2 linked regions of the Pelodiscus sinensis genome follow. The protein of the gene in region 1 purifies or fractionates together with the protein of each later gene. This does not show direct contact. Links are inferred from orthologs where the notes say so. Each region holds a gene or a part of one and is shown on either strand. Other genes may lie near its edges.

The links. The genes of interacting proteins can lie anywhere in the genome.
Region 2: the proteins of NEK7 (region 1) and ANKS6 purify together in Homo sapiens (affinity purification with mass spectrometry; 3 studies listed by BioGRID and IntAct, with this or other methods). This does not show direct contact. The link is inferred for Pelodiscus sinensis from reciprocal best matches to the Homo sapiens genes NEK7 and ANKS6.

Annotation. Positions count from the first base shown.
Region 1 is NC_134719.1:45,899,430-45,907,382, reverse strand, and holds the start of NEK7 (serine/threonine-protein kinase Nek7), read left to right. Parts: upstream 1-4,941; 5' UTR 4,942-5,284; intron 5,285-5,484; exon of another isoform or gene 5,485-5,704; intron 5,705-6,092; exon of another isoform or gene 6,093-6,127; intron 6,128-7,146; exon of another isoform or gene 7,147-7,953. UniProt on the Homo sapiens protein: Protein kinase which plays an important role in mitotic cell cycle progression. Required for microtubule nucleation activity of the centrosome, robust mitotic spindle formation and cytokinesis.
Region 2 is NC_134712.1:142,920,573-142,927,603, reverse strand, and holds the start of ANKS6 (ankyrin repeat and SAM domain-containing protein 6), read left to right. Parts: upstream 1-4,029; 5' UTR 4,030-4,131; coding exon 4,132-4,481; intron 4,482-6,308; coding exon 6,309-6,808; intron 6,809-7,031.

The DNA of each region.
Region 1 (7,953 bases):
CTTCACAACCTCCTCAGGCAAGGAGTTCCACAGATTGACTATGTGCTGTGTGAATAATTTCCTTTTATTTGTTTTAAACTTGCTGCCCATTAGTTTCATTTGGTAGCTCCTAGTTCTTATATTATGGGAACAAGTAAATAACTTTTCCTTATTCACTTTCTCCACACCGCTTTTGATTTTATATCTCTAACATATCCTCCCTTAGTCTCCTCTTTTCCAAGCTGAAAAGTCCCAGTCTCTTTAATCTCTCCTAATATGGGACATGTTCCAAACCCCTAATCATTTTAGTTGCCCTTCTCCGAACCTTTTCTAATGCCAGTATATCTTTTTTGAAAGGAGGAGGCCACATCTGTACGCTATTCAAGATGTGGGCGTACCATGGATATTCTTCCTCTTATTCTCTATCCCTTTTTTAATGATTCCTAACATTGTTTGTTTTGACTGCCGCTGCACACTGCGTGGACGTCTTCAGAGAACTATCCACGATGACTCCAAGATCTCTTTCCTGATTAGTTGTAGCTAAATTAGCCCCCCCTCATATTATATGTATAGTTGGGGTTATTTTTTCCAATGTGCAGGGCTTGACAAACCCCAGCGAGAGCCACTCGCCAGCCTCGTGCTGCACATGTGCCAGACCGGCACTGCGCATGCGCGATGCGCTGGTGAATGGGGCGCTCGGACAGACTGGCTGAAATTTACTTGCCCTGGGCGAGTAGATTCAGTGGTTTGTCAAGCCCTGCCAATGTGCATTACTTTACATTTATCCACATTAAATTTAATTTGCCATTTTGTTACCCAGTCAGTTTGGTGAGATCTTTTTGAAGTTCTGCATGGTCTGCTTTGGTCTTAACTAGCTTGAGCAGTTTAGTATCATCTGCAAACTTTGCCACCTCACTGTTTACCCATTTCTCCAGATCATTTATAAATAAGTTGAATAGAATTAGTCCTAGAACTGATTCTTGGGCAACACCACTAGTTATCCCTCTCCATTCTGAAAATTTACCATTTATTCCTACCCTTTGTTTCCTATCTTTAAACCAGCTCTTAGTCCATGAAAGGATCTTCCCTCTTATCCCATGACAACTTAATTTACATAAGAGCCTTTGGAGAGGGACCTTGTCAAAGGCTTTCTGGAAATCTAAGTACACTATATCTACTGGATCCCCTTTGTCCACATATTTGTTGACCCCTTCAAAGAACTCAAAGGCTATATCTACACTGGCGGGTTCTTGCGCCAGAAATATGCAAATGAGGCTAAGCGTGGAATATCGCCGAGCCTCATTTGCATACCTAATGAGCTGTCATTTTTGCGGAAGAGGCTCTTGTGCCAGAAGGAGCATCTACACTGTCCCTTCTTGCGCAAGAAAAACCCTCTTGCGCAATGCCGTTATTCCTGAAAATAATCAGTGTAGCAGCATTGCGCAACAGGGTTTTTCATGTGCAAGAAGGGGCAGTGTAGACAGCTCCTTCTGGTGCAAGAGCCTCTTCCGCAAAAATTAGGTATGCAAATGAGGCTCGGTGATATTCCACGCTTAGCCTCATTTGCATATTTCTGGTGCAAGAACTCACCAGTGTAGACATAGCCTAATAGATTAGTAAGACATGATTTCCCTTTACAGAAACCATGTTGACTTTTGCCCAACAAATTATGTTCTTCTATGTGTCTGACAATTGTATTCTTTACTATTTGTTTCAACTAATTTGCCCGGTACTGATGTTAGACTTACCAGTCTGTAATTGCTGGGATCGCCTCTAAAGCCTTTTTTAAATATTGGCATTACATTAGCTATCTTCCAGTCATTGGGTACAGAAGCTGATTTAAAGGATAGATTACAAACCAGAGTTAATAGTGCCGCAATTTCACTTTTGAGTTCTTTCAGAACTCTTGGGTGAATGCCATCTGGTCCCGGTGACTTGTTACTGTTAAGTTTATCAATTAATTCCAAAATCTCCTCTAATGACACTTCCATCTTTGACAAGTCTGCAGATTTGTCACCCACAAAGGACGGTTCAGGTTTGGGAATCTCCCTAACATCCTCACCCTTGAAGACTGAAGCAAAGAATTCATTTAGTTTCTTCACATTGACTTAAATAGTCGTTAAGTGATCCTTTTGTATCTAGACCATCCAGGGGCCCCACTGGTTGTTTAGCAGGCTTTCTGCTTCTGATGTACTTAAACATTCTGTTATTACTTTTTGAGTTTTTGGCTAGCTGTTCTTCAAACTACTTTTTGGCTTTTCTTATTCATTTTTACACTTCATTTGACAGTGTTTATGTTCCTTTCTATTTACCTCACTAGGATTTGACTTCCACTTTTTAAAAGATGTGTTTTTATCTCTCACTGCTTCTTTTTCATGGCTGTTCAGCCATGGTGGCTCTTTTTTAGTTCTTCTATGATTTTTTTTTTAATTTGGGGTATACATTTAAGTTGGGCCTCTATTTTGTTGTCTTTGAAAGCATCCATGCAGCTTACAGGGATTTTACTTTAGTCACAGTACCTTTTAATTTCTGTTTAACTAACCTCCTCATTTTTGCATAGTTCCCCTTTCTGAAATTAAAGCCACAGTGTTGGGCTGCTGAGATGTTCTTCCCACCACAGGAATGTTAAATGTTATTATATTATGGTCACTATTTCTAAGTGGTCCTATTATAGTTACCTCTTGGACCGGATCCTACGCACCATTCAGGACTAAATCGAGAATTGCCTCTCCCCTTGTTGGTTCCTGTACCAGCTGCTCCAAGAAGCAGCCATTGAAGATAAAGAAATTTTGTCTCTGCATTTTGTCTTGAGGTGACAAGCACCCAGTCAATACGGGGATAGTTAAAATCCCCCACTATTATTGAGTTCTTTATTTTGATAGCCTCTCTAATTTCCCTTAGCAGGAACCGCTACACCAGCTTGGCAATAGGCTAGGGCACCCCGCAGGCAAGGGATGCTTTGGCATCCCAGTCCCGTTAAAGGTGAAGCTTACTAGTTAATCCTTCACATCCCTATGGATACCTGTTGTGTGGCAGCAATGCACAGGCCTAGAAACAAAAACTTAGGTGCCATGAGTATAATCATCTGCAGGGTTAGATGGCAGCTGAGTGGAAGCTTTGTGGCTCACATTGGTTCTTAAAAATGGAACTCAGACACCTAGGTACCCTTGTGGATTGGACCCTCAGGCTGTTTGTTGAACTTTAGATTAAGAAATGATTTAAAGGATAAATATGCTAGTTTCTAATTCTTCTTCTAGAAGGAAAGCTAATAGGAGGGAGACAGAAGATTTCCACACAGAACTCTTTTCTTTCCCTATCAGGTGCTACTGCTGTTCAAGCTACCGGCAGAGAACACTGGCTATGTCTACACTGCAGTTAGCCACCTGTGGGTGGCCCATCAGCTGAATCCAGCTTGTAAGACTTAAGTTAAGGGGCTAATTAATTGCTGTGATTGTTGGAGCCCTAAAGCCTGGGCTCCAACCCAAGCCCCTAGGTTGAGTCAGCAGATTTTTAATTAAATTGTAGACACGCCCACTGAGAACTCCAAACTGTTTAGGCTAGCACCAGCTCTTCCACTTCAGTGTTTCATACCTCCTGAGTCCCCATTTCAGAATTCAGAAAGGATCAAGATCTCTTTGGGGAGAGCTTCTCCATCACTCCAGAAAAAGAAAAAGCTACTTTCCTATGTATTTTTAGAAGAGCTGTTTATTTTTAATTCCTAAGCACAGGTTTACATTCAGTCTTTTTCCAATAGGTTACTACCAGAAACAGGCAACATGTCAGCAGAAAGTCAGGATTATTTTGCATGCTGTTAGGAAGCTTTCATTTTTATTTCTAAGGGATTATGGTTCGTCCCCAAGGGAACTACTACCAGCAAACAAGTTTTTAAACACATTCTTACTCTAATGTAAGTCCTTATTTGTGTTTAAAAAACAAACATAAGAATGGCCACACTGGGTCAGACCAAAGGTCCATTTAGCCCAGTACCCTGTCTGCTGACAGGGGCCAATACCAGATGTCTCAGAGGAAGGGATCACAACAGGTAATCTTCACATGATCCCTCCCCTGTCACCCACTTCCAGAAGAACAGAGGCTAGGGACACCATTCCTACCCACACTGGCTAATAGCCATTGATGAACCTTACCTCCATGAATCTAGCTAGCTCTTTTTTGAACCCAGTTGAAGTTCTAGACTTCACCGCATCCTCTGGCAAGGAGTTTCAGAGGTTGATTGTGCACTGAGTGAAGAAATACTTCCTTTTGTTTGTTTTAAAGCTGCTGCCTATTAACAAACAAAGTTAGCTAAACATATCTCCTTTTTCCACACTATACAGGGAGAGTGTTAGATCAGGGTAGATGGCTTTTCTAATGAATGCTCCACACCTTCCCCTGGACACATTGTTTTTCAGAAATCCTAGGCTTTCTTTTTTCTTTCATGAGAGTTCAGAGTGCTGAGCCCCTCTTACTCTTGTCAAGGGAGCTGCTGTATAATTTATAGGGCCTAGGAGTGCTTCTCAGGGGTTTAGGGTCCTTGGGGCTAGAGAATGCAGAAACACATACAAATTCAGTTTCTGCCTGCGGTCGCAATTTCCACTACACAAAAGCCAAGAATATATTTGCTTGCGGTGGGACGCAGTCGCCATTTATTTGTATTAAGCGCACTGCTACCTCTCAGGAGGAACTAGGCTGCTAGGAAGTTGCAGTTCGGTAACACACCGGGAGCTGGAACCGACGCAGCCTCTGGGGTCCCACACATGGCTGCAGGTTTGGCCAAGGTGCTTCCCAGCGCACCAGCCAGTCTCCTGCCTCTTCGGAAGCAGCGCAGCACCGGGGCCCCTGGTTTCGGAAAGACACGGGCCTGACCCCAAGCCCGGGCGCTTCCCAGCGTGCAGGCCGGCCCCTCCCAGCCCATCCTTTACCGGGGCAGGCCAAACGTCTGCTGCCGCCGCCGTCAGTCCGGCCCTAGCCGTCGCGGGGACACGGCGGGCCAGCATACGCCGCGGCCGGGCCGCTGAGCGCCAGAAGGCGGCGGGGGCCCGCTCTGAGGAGGAGCCCGGCGCCGGCCCCGCCTCTCTCCCCTCGGGGATGCCGGGATGTTTACAGTCCTGGCGGCAGCGGCAGCGGCAGGAGGAGGCGGCGGCGGCTGGGCTGCTACCGCCGCGGCCTCACGGTTCGCGCACGGGGAGCCCCGCACCCGCCCGGAGCGTCCGGCCCCCACTCGGCGCCTGGGCGCGGCACTCTCCGCCGAGGCAGCGAGGCCGGTTCCGGCGGCCCGGCGCGAAGCGGGAGGGACGCGCGCGGTCTGGTGAGGCGCGGGGGGGAGAAGGGGCCGGGAGCTTGGGGCGCGCAGCCGGGGCTGTAACCAAGAAACTCCCTTGCAGGCAGCCAGCGACCTCACACGGGGCCGCCGCGGCGGGAGGACAGTCCCACCTCTCGCCGGGTCTCATTGGCCGCCGCCGCCAGTCACCCGGCCCCCATTGGCTGCAGCTGCCGCCGCTCCGCCCGTGGCCGGGGGCGGGGTGGGGAGAGCGTGTGTCTGTGAAGTGACTCCTGTGAAGTGAAACTCGGCGGGGGGCAGGGCGGCGGCGCGTGCCAAGCCCGGTCTCCTTTCCGGGCTCGGCCGCGCGGCTTTGCGCAGCCCCTGCCACATGCCGGGCGCCACCTGCCCGGGCCTTGGGCGGCGGCAGCGGTAGCGCGAGGAGGCCGGGTCCGGCGGGGCTTGTGTGTATGTAGCCCCGCGATTCGGGCTGGGCGTTATTTAAGGGGGGGGGGGTGTCGTCTTTTCCCGGCGCTCCGGGGTCTGCGGGCGGCTTTGCTGGCTCTTCGGCCAAGCTGAAAACAGCCCCCTGAGAATGGAGGCGGCGTGGGGGCCTCCAAAACTTTAACGCCAAGAAATGTCATTGGTTAGGCGGGGGCTCAGACCCGTCTCTCGAAGTTGGCCTGCTGGTGGTAGGACCTGTGCAGGGGAAGGGGCGGGGAATTCTGTCCCCCAACCGCAGAAAACGTGGCAGGAGATTTTTATTTTTAAAAAATTGGTAATACTGCTCATGAGATCGATGTGCCTCGCTTTACAGGTTGTCTTTTAGTCACCTTGTATGTACGTCTCTTCACAGGGTAGCACAACACAGCCCATCATGTAGGGGCCTTGGTAGGTTACACCAGCCTCCCCTTTTTCATTTCCTTTTTAAAGGTAAAGCGAAAACTGAAACTTCTTCCCCTTTAGCAAATGGCATTTTTGTGTTTTCATTTGTCTTTATTGCTGCTCTTTTTATGGCACGTCTGGTAAGTTTTTTCCATAACAAATGGATATTCCAGGCTTGTAGGTTAACCCTTTCCAGAAATTTTTACATGTCAAATGAAGTCACAGAGACAAGCTGCTAATGTGTTCGTTTAGCTGGGCTGGAGCTCAGTAGTAGTAGGAAATATTTGGTCAATATAGGGCTCAGTTTTGAAAAGACTTGTGTAGTAACATTGCCTATTGGCGAGTTAGTTATTTAGGGTAATCTCCATAGTGATATAAGGCACCTATTGTTTTAATATTAATATTGAAACTTATTGATAGTATATGTTATATGTGACTAAGTATTTTGACAGTGAAGCTTGTGTAGACGTTTTCCCCATGTGTTACTTCATAAGGCGTAATAAAATCTTTATCTTTCTATTTTGAGCATCTCTACTACCTTTTTTAACCAACATAATTTTGAATATGTGAGATTTGAGTACATTTTTTGCAATAAATGTACTCTTCAACAAAGTATACTTAAATATGAGGAATTCAAATTGTAGAACTAAATTTGAAAAGAAAAACAAGAGTCCAGTTGAATGCCAGGGTTATAATACTGATCTTAGGTTCTGTAGTTCTTAAAATGTTGAATCTGATGATTTTTTTGTGCCGTGTTGGTGTAGCTGTGTTAGATGCTGTGTATGAGAGAGATGAAGTGGGTGAAGTCAAATTTTTTATGGATCAACTTTTGTTAGCAAAAAAAGACAAACTTTGATACTCTACACGCATGGGTTCCCAAACTGGGGTGTGTGAAGAAATTCCAGGGGGTATGCGAGGCGACCCAGTCCCCCCTCCCCCAATCAAGTTTTGCTGCCCTGGTCAGTTCCTTCCCCCCCCCCCCCCCCGACAAGTTTTGCTATTTTGGGGTGGAGGGGCATGAGGGTTTTTCAAAAATCAAGAAGGGGGCGTGATGCTGAAAAGTTTGGGAACCACTGCGTGAAAGGGAGAAACTTTGGAGCACTGCATAATTGCAGTAAAAACTTCATTGTTATTCTTTATATAATTGTGATGCTTCAGAAAAAAAGAAAAACATTCAAATTAGGGATATAAATGAATAAAGATATTAACTCGGTGACTGATAACAATTCTATCCATTACATGGTTAACCATTCCCGGGGCTCAGGACTCTGTGGGGCTGGCAGTGCTCCGGGCTGGCAAGGCTCGTGGTCCCTTGCCTGTGTGTGTAGGGAGTCAGCTTTTAAGTTGGCTTTCTGCGCATAGGGGCTCCCGTGGAGCCACTTACCCACCACACGGGGTGGTGGTGATGTGATTCTCTGTGGGAGCTAGTGTGCGCTTCCACCTGTGCCCCACACACTACGGCTTCTGATACAGAGGCAGCAGGGGAGGGTGGGTTTGTGTGACTTTCACATCCCTGCTACCAATATTTTCACACTGTAAGGAGTGAAGCATCCATATATGAAATACTGTATTCACTGTTGCTGAATTAGAAATGCAGAAAGTAGAGTAGAAAGCAATGAGACTAGTTTTAAGGTTGAAGAAGAATTTAAATAGTTTCACTTTCTCTGTGATTCTCTAAAAAGGAAGAAATTCAGTGCCGACCTGCAAAGCACTTAAAATAGCTTGTGGCTTTTTTAATGATTTATATGGGAGGCCTGATTATTTTTTAATCTGTTTTTTGATTTTAGAAATATTGGGAATGTAAGGTTTTGCCAAAGGACATTTTATGGGAT
Region 2 (7,031 bases), on another chromosome or scaffold:
GTTCCTGGGCAAAAAAAGTTTGAGAGCCACTGAAACAGAGGAATCCCAGGCCTCTCCCCCGAGTTAATGCAATGCAAGTTGGGTTAATGCAATTGCAACATAGTTACATGGTGGTGGTGGTGGAGGGGTCCTATGGGGCCCAAACCCATCCCTATTAGTAGAGAAGAGTAGGGGGAGATTTTAGAGGGAGTCATATGACACGCTTTACTTCCGGTCATGTGTCTATCTTGACTCTGGGAGTACTATCTCCAAGGGTGGCCAATGGAGGTCAGGGGGATGGCTAACAGGGGTCAGGGAGCATTGCTAACATGTCCCCAATTTTGGTTCAGAAAATACGGTCACCATAGCCATAATGCCCAGATCTCTTTTCAGCAGTACTATCACTTAGCTTTCTTCCCTGCCTTCCATTTTGTAATTGTGCATTTGATTTTTCTTTCCTAAGTTTTTTGTGCTTGTCTTTGAATTTCATCTTGTTGAATTCAGACCAGTTCTCCAATTTGTTAAGGTCATTTTGAATTCTAATCCTGTCCTCCAAAGTGCTTGAACCCCTCCCAGGATAGTGTCGTCTACATATTTTATAATCATGTTCTCCACTCTTATTATCCAAGAAGTAATTACTAAAAATAATATAATAGTATTGGGCACAGCATTGATCTCTGTTGGACCCTTCTAGATATGCCCTCCCAGTTTGACAGTGAGCCATTCATAATTACTATTTAAGTATATTTTTTCAACCAGTTTTGCAGCCACTTTATAGTAGTTTCCTCCAGACCACATTTCCCTAGTTTGCTTATGTCAAGAAGGATTATGTCAAAATCCTTAATAAAATCAAAATATATCATATCTACTGCTTCACCCCTATCCACTAAACAAGTAACTCTGTCTAATTTAATTTCTTTGGCAACACTTGTTCTTGAGAAATCCTTGCTGGCTATTTCTTATAACCCACTTATCCTCTAGATGCTTACAAATTGATGATTTATTAATTTGTTCCAGTATCTTTCCAGGTTTGGAAGTCAGACTGATCCTCTTTGTGCGTTTTTATAGAAACTTAGGGCTAGATTCACAAAGATTTAGGTACCTATGTCCAATTTTAGATTCCTCTACAATTCCCAAAACTCCTGTTAAAACATTTAGGCACCTTAACTCATTCAGTGCCTGCATATTCAGGGTAAAGTTTCTTTAAGTGTCTAAATGTCTGCCTTTGAACATGCACTTTTACCTTACTTTAGGCATCTGGATGCTTATTTCCCACATAAGCTCCAAAACAAATCACAAACCAGGGAAGATAGGGAGGCTAATGCATATCTTGTGTATGGCGCCCGATTTGGCAGGCATGATCAGAGAGTGCCTACTGAAATGAGTCCCAGGGGAGACATGGGGGGTGAGGGGGATGAAGGGTCAGGTACCCCCCCAAATGTAGAGGGGGAAGAATAAGAGGCCAGCAGCCAGTGGGAAGAGTCATTGCCCCTGGGCCCATGTTTTGGCTGGGGCTGGATTCCTTTGCTTTCTGCAGCCAGTGAGTGCAGAGTACACCCCTTCTCCCTTCCCCCAAGCAATGTGGCCTGGGGGGATTAATGGGGGAGGGGGCAGATGCAGACTGCAGGATCAGGGGGCCCCTGCATTCAAGGGCAGTGGGAAGTGTAGCGATTTGGCCACAAACTACTGTGTTCCCTCCAGCTCCCAGCATTGCTCCGCCTTCTGCTGCTGGTGAATGCAGGGCGTCCCAACCTCTGCAGCATGCTCCAGGTCCCCGGATAATCCCTTGGGCTACATTGCTTGGGGAGGGGGTTCTGCACTCCCTGGCAGTGGGAATTGAGCAACCTGGCTAGGAATTGGCAGAGCTGAGCAGGCTGGGGCTAGGTCACTCAGCTTCCTGCTCCTAGTGGTGAGGGCTTGGGTGGAGTGGTGGCAGGGCATGAACTGACTGGGTTCTCTTCCCTGAGGATAACAGGTGGAACAGGGAGGAGACACCTGGGCAGTGATCACGTTACCTGTGCTTCCCCGCCTGTGTTCCTTAGCACCGCTGATCGATCCTATTCAAAATCTGGCTGAAGGGGGAGGACATGACACTACCCACCTCATAACTTTTATCCTAGTGGTTAGAATACTCATGCAGGATATGGGAAACCTGGGTTTGATTCCCCTGTGAGAGGGAGAAAAGATTTGAATAGATGTCTCCCATAACCCATGTGAGCACTCTGTCCACTGGGATAGTAGTTACAAGGCTGGGCCTTCTTCTTCCTCTGGCTGTTTTGTTGGCTATGCATCTGCCTATCTCAATCTCTCAAAGAACAGGTTAGGCACCTAAACCACCTGACTCACGACAGGGTATTCCAGGTGCTTACATGCAGACTGGATTCTGGCAGTGAACTCTATGATGGAGTTTGACTTAATCTCTGGTCAGCATCTCCCATTGGCTGGTTTAGCAAGCGCCCTACCTAGTATTTTGGCAGTTGTGAATCTGTCTGAGGTGCAGCTCTCTCCCTATTCATTGTATAGGGAGTTTAGGCTCCTTACTCAAGATTTGTGAAACACGTTGGTGTTCCTGTGACTTTCTTAGTGCCTAAAAACTAGATGTTGTGAGACAGTGTTGCTATGCCTTGATCACCTTTGTGACTCTAGCCACTTGGCCTTCCCCTTACTGCTAAAAATTATGGCTACGTCTACACTGGCCCCTTTTTCGGAAGGGGCATGCTAATTTTGAAAGTGGGAATAGGGTAGTAGGAATAAGAGATCCTCCGGAATAGGGCTTTATTCCGGAGGATCGGGCCAGTCTAGACGCTTTTTTTCCGGCTTTTCCCCAAGACGGAAAAAAAGCGTCAGACATGTTTATTTAAATCCGCGGGGGATATTTAAATCCCCCGCGGATTTCCCTATTCCCACTTTCAAAATTAGCATGCCCGTTCCGAAAAAGGGGCCAGTGTAGACGTAGCCTATGATTTTTGTTTGGCCTTGTTAACTTGGGGTAACTAAGATGTGGGAGACAAAAACACAGTGACAAGAAGGCACTTTATTTGAACAATGAGGGAAAAGCCTGAGGAAATATCTCTGGAATAAGATCTTGGGCACTCATCCACTCTGGAACAAGATCTTCCACTCATCTGCAGAAGTGGGTTGTGCCCACGAAAGCTCATGATACAATGTATATTTTTATTAGTCTCTGAGGTGGTACAGGACCACTCATTTTTAAGTTTTTTTTTAAGCTACAGATTAATACTGCTACCCCTCTTAGACTTTTGATCAATATGTGTAACTGGGGGTGGAGGGATAGGGTAGGAATGGAAGATATTCTGCGGATTGAGAAGAACGCATTGTAAACCGTATTTGAAATGCATTTTAAAGTGTTTAGAAAAACAAAAATGGTTTTACTCTAGAAACTAATCTACAATGCAAAGTGACTAAGCTCAGTAACATATTGTGTCAGTGCACCCCAGCCCAGCACGGCCAGGCCCTGCACTGGGAGCTGGGGGAAGGGGAGGGCAGACAAGGGGCTGGAACATATGACCTATGAGGAGAAGCTGAGGGAGTTAGAAATATTTAGTCTGCAGAAGAGAAGAGTGAGGGGGGATTTGATAGCAGCCTTCAACTTCCTGAAGGGGGGTTCCAAAGAGGATGGAGAAAGGCTGTTCTCAGTAATGACAGATGGCAGAACAAGGAGCAATGGTCTCAAGTTGCGGTGGGAGAGGTCCAGGTTGGATATTAGGAAAAACTATTTCACTAGGAGGGTGGTGAAGCACTGGACTGGGTTACCTAGGGAAGTAGTGGAGTCTCCACCCCTAGAGGTGTTTAAGTCTGGGCTTGACAAAGCCCTGGCTGGGTTGATTTAATTGGGATTGGTCCTGCCTTGGGCAGGGGGCTGGACTTGATGACCTCCTGAGGTCTCTTCCAGCTCTATGGTTCTATAAGCCATTGAGAGCCCTTCCCACATCAGTCACTGCAATTGCCCAGGCGTGTCTCCAGGACGGGGCCCGCGCGCGGGAAGGAACTGCTGGGGTGTAACATGAGACCGGCCGCCCTTCCGCGGGCGGAGCGCCGAGCTCTCTCTCCTTCCAGGGCAGCGAGGCCCATGCCGGGGGCGCAGGCAGGGGTCGGAGGCGGCGGCTGCGCGGGGCTCGCACGCCGCGGCCGATGGGGGAATGCGGGGTTCCCACCCAGGTCCAGCTCTTTCTCCGCGCCTGCGAGCAGGGGGACTACGAGAGCGCCCGGCGCCTCCTGGGGCTGCCCGGGGGCGGCGCGGAGGCGGCGGGCGGCTCCGCTTGCGGGGCGGAGGAGGCGGCGGCGGCGGAGCCCGGAGCCGGGGAAGCGGCAGCGCCTCCCCCTTCGGTGCCAGTGGATTGCACGGACGAGGCCGGCAACACCGGGCTGCAGTTCGCCTCGGCCGGGGGCCACGAGCAGCTGGTGCGGTTCCTGCTGCGCAAAGGGGCCTCGGTGCAGAGTCGGAACCACTACGGCTGGAGCCCGCTCATGCAGGCGGCCAGGTAGGGCCGGGCGCTGCCCGCATCCGCTCCCCGGCCGCCACTGAGCATGCTCCGGCTTGCAGCCGTGGCCCGGTGGGGCCTGCCCCCTCTCAGCAGGCTGGGGCGTGAGAGCTGGTAGGGCGCAGGGGTTCGGCAGTGGGCTGAGCAACGCCTCTTCCAGCAGCACCCCGGGCTGCTCGGGCGTGGCTTGGCTGTGAGGGTAACCACCCAGCCTGTTTCTTCATTTCAAGGGAGCGAGTTAGAAAACAAAGCAAAGCCCTGTGCCCTGCTGGAGAGCAGAGGAAACGTCGGCTGTGGCTGGCACAGAGCGGAGTTGTTTCTTCCTGAGCAGCATCATTTGTACACGGCTGCTAGACGAGTGTGCCTGTTCCTCCCTCCACATCCTCGTGGCTCTTGCTCATAAGAAACAAGCAGCCAGTTCCCTCCCCGAGTAGTCAAAGTATTACAGGTCCGGTCCTTTGGGAGAATCGTTGTGCACTCTGGACAGAGAAGGCGTTCTGGTTTTGATCATTCAAACTCTTGCTTTAAGCTATTTTAAAATACCAGTTTAAACAATCACATTGCTTGCAAGAAATGATTGTTTTGCTGGTGAGGAAAGGCATGTCAAATGTGAAATTGAACAAATGTTAGAATTTAATGTTAGTACATTTCCTTTTCCCATTGTCCTTTAGTTTAGAATTATGATAAATAGTGGGCAGGTCACCATAGCAATTTATAAATGTCATCAAATTACAACTAATACCACTGAATAACTGCACTATGTGGCTGTGTCTAGACTGGCAAGTTTTTCCGCAAAATCATCTGCTTTTGCGGAAAAACTTGCCAGCTGTCTACACTGGGCGCTTGAATTTCCGCAAAAGTACTGATGATCTCATGTAAGATTGTCAGCGCTTTTGCGGAAATACTATGCTGCTCCCGTTCGGGCAAAAGTCTTTTTCCGAAAGACTTTTGCGCAAAAGGGCCAGTGTAGACAGCAGAGATTTCTTTTCTGCAAAAAAGCCCCGATCGCGAAAATGGCGATCGGGGCTTTTTTGCAGAAAAACGCGTCTAGATTGGCCACAGACGCTTTTCTGCAAAAAGTGCTTTTGCGGAAAAGCGCCCTGCCAATCTAGACGCGCTTTTCCGAAAATGCTTTTAACGGAAAATTTTTCCATTAAAAGTATTTCCGGAAAATCATTCCAGTGTAGACGTAGCCTGTATGTATTTTTAAAAGCAGCATACAAATAAAAGCAACTATTGAGCATCATCTCCTATGGGAATAAAAGATGCCTAAAAGTTTATTTTATTTGTTACTGTTCCTTTGGTTAGGAAATCTTGACTGAGGAGGTCAGATGTTTGGTCTACTGAAATCATGAAAAAAGTCCTGTTTCAGTGGGCTTTCCCTAATTTCTCTAAACGTTTCACAGGACAAAATAGAAAACAGTTTATAACATTCAATAAATAGAATCAGATTTCATACACTTTATCAGTCATAGAGTTTACTATAGCATTTATCACAGCTGTCTATGGCCCCAACCCTGCACATGGGATTATTCACTTTTTAAATTATATGTATACTTAAATAACTTCTTGATCTAGGATATTTGGGTTTTGTCCAGATCCTTATAGTTCTGTTGATTCTTTTAAAACCTAATTTCAAAGGATGGGGGTTGGGCTGCAGTGATAGTCTTAAGTACACATGGTACATTTTCAATTGCCGTAGGTACAGTAGGGAAGTTGAGCATACCAAATAACTGTTGTAGCAAAATTTTCTCACATGCTGTCTGTAAAAGATATTTATTACAGAAAAACTGGTATCTCTTTTCAATTCTTTTGCTTTCTTTTAAGGTTTGGACATCTAACTGTGGCCCACATCTTGTTGGAGAATGGTGCTGATCTGAATGCACAGAATAAACTGGGAGCCAGTGTACTTACAATGGCTTCTAGAGGTGGCCATGTCAGTGTGGTGAAATTGTTGCTGGAATCTGGAGCTTTTGTTGATAATTATGACCATTTTAATACCAGTTTCGTTGAGAACAGCAAAGAGGAACTGCCAGATATAATACCACTAATAGCAGCTGCCCAACATGGACATGAAGCAGTGGTGCATTTACTACTGGACTGGGGAGCTGATTGTAATTACTCTTTGAAGACAGTGGGCTGGAGTCCTCTAATGCTGGCAGCAGTTAGTGGAAAGCTGAGTGTGGCACAACAGCTCGTGGACAAGGGAGCCAATCCTAATCATCTAAATGTGCTGCATAAAACATCTTTTGAAATCTCCATTGGCTTCAAACATAAAGACATGAAAGATTATCTGGAATCAGTAACAACTGTCAGACCCCAGACAGGTATGGGCTACTATTCTTTTGGCTTCTTTTCTGCAGGGTTTAGTTTAGACATTTTGGAGACATAAGAACCAAAAAAGTAGTTATTAATGTACATTTTATTCTGTGAGGCACAGAGCTAAGAACATAAGAATGGACATACTGGGTCAGTCCAAAAGTCTCTCTAGCCCTGGAGTGGAGGCGGTTCGCTAAGGTTAGCCCCTGACCAGCCACCAATGCTTTATTT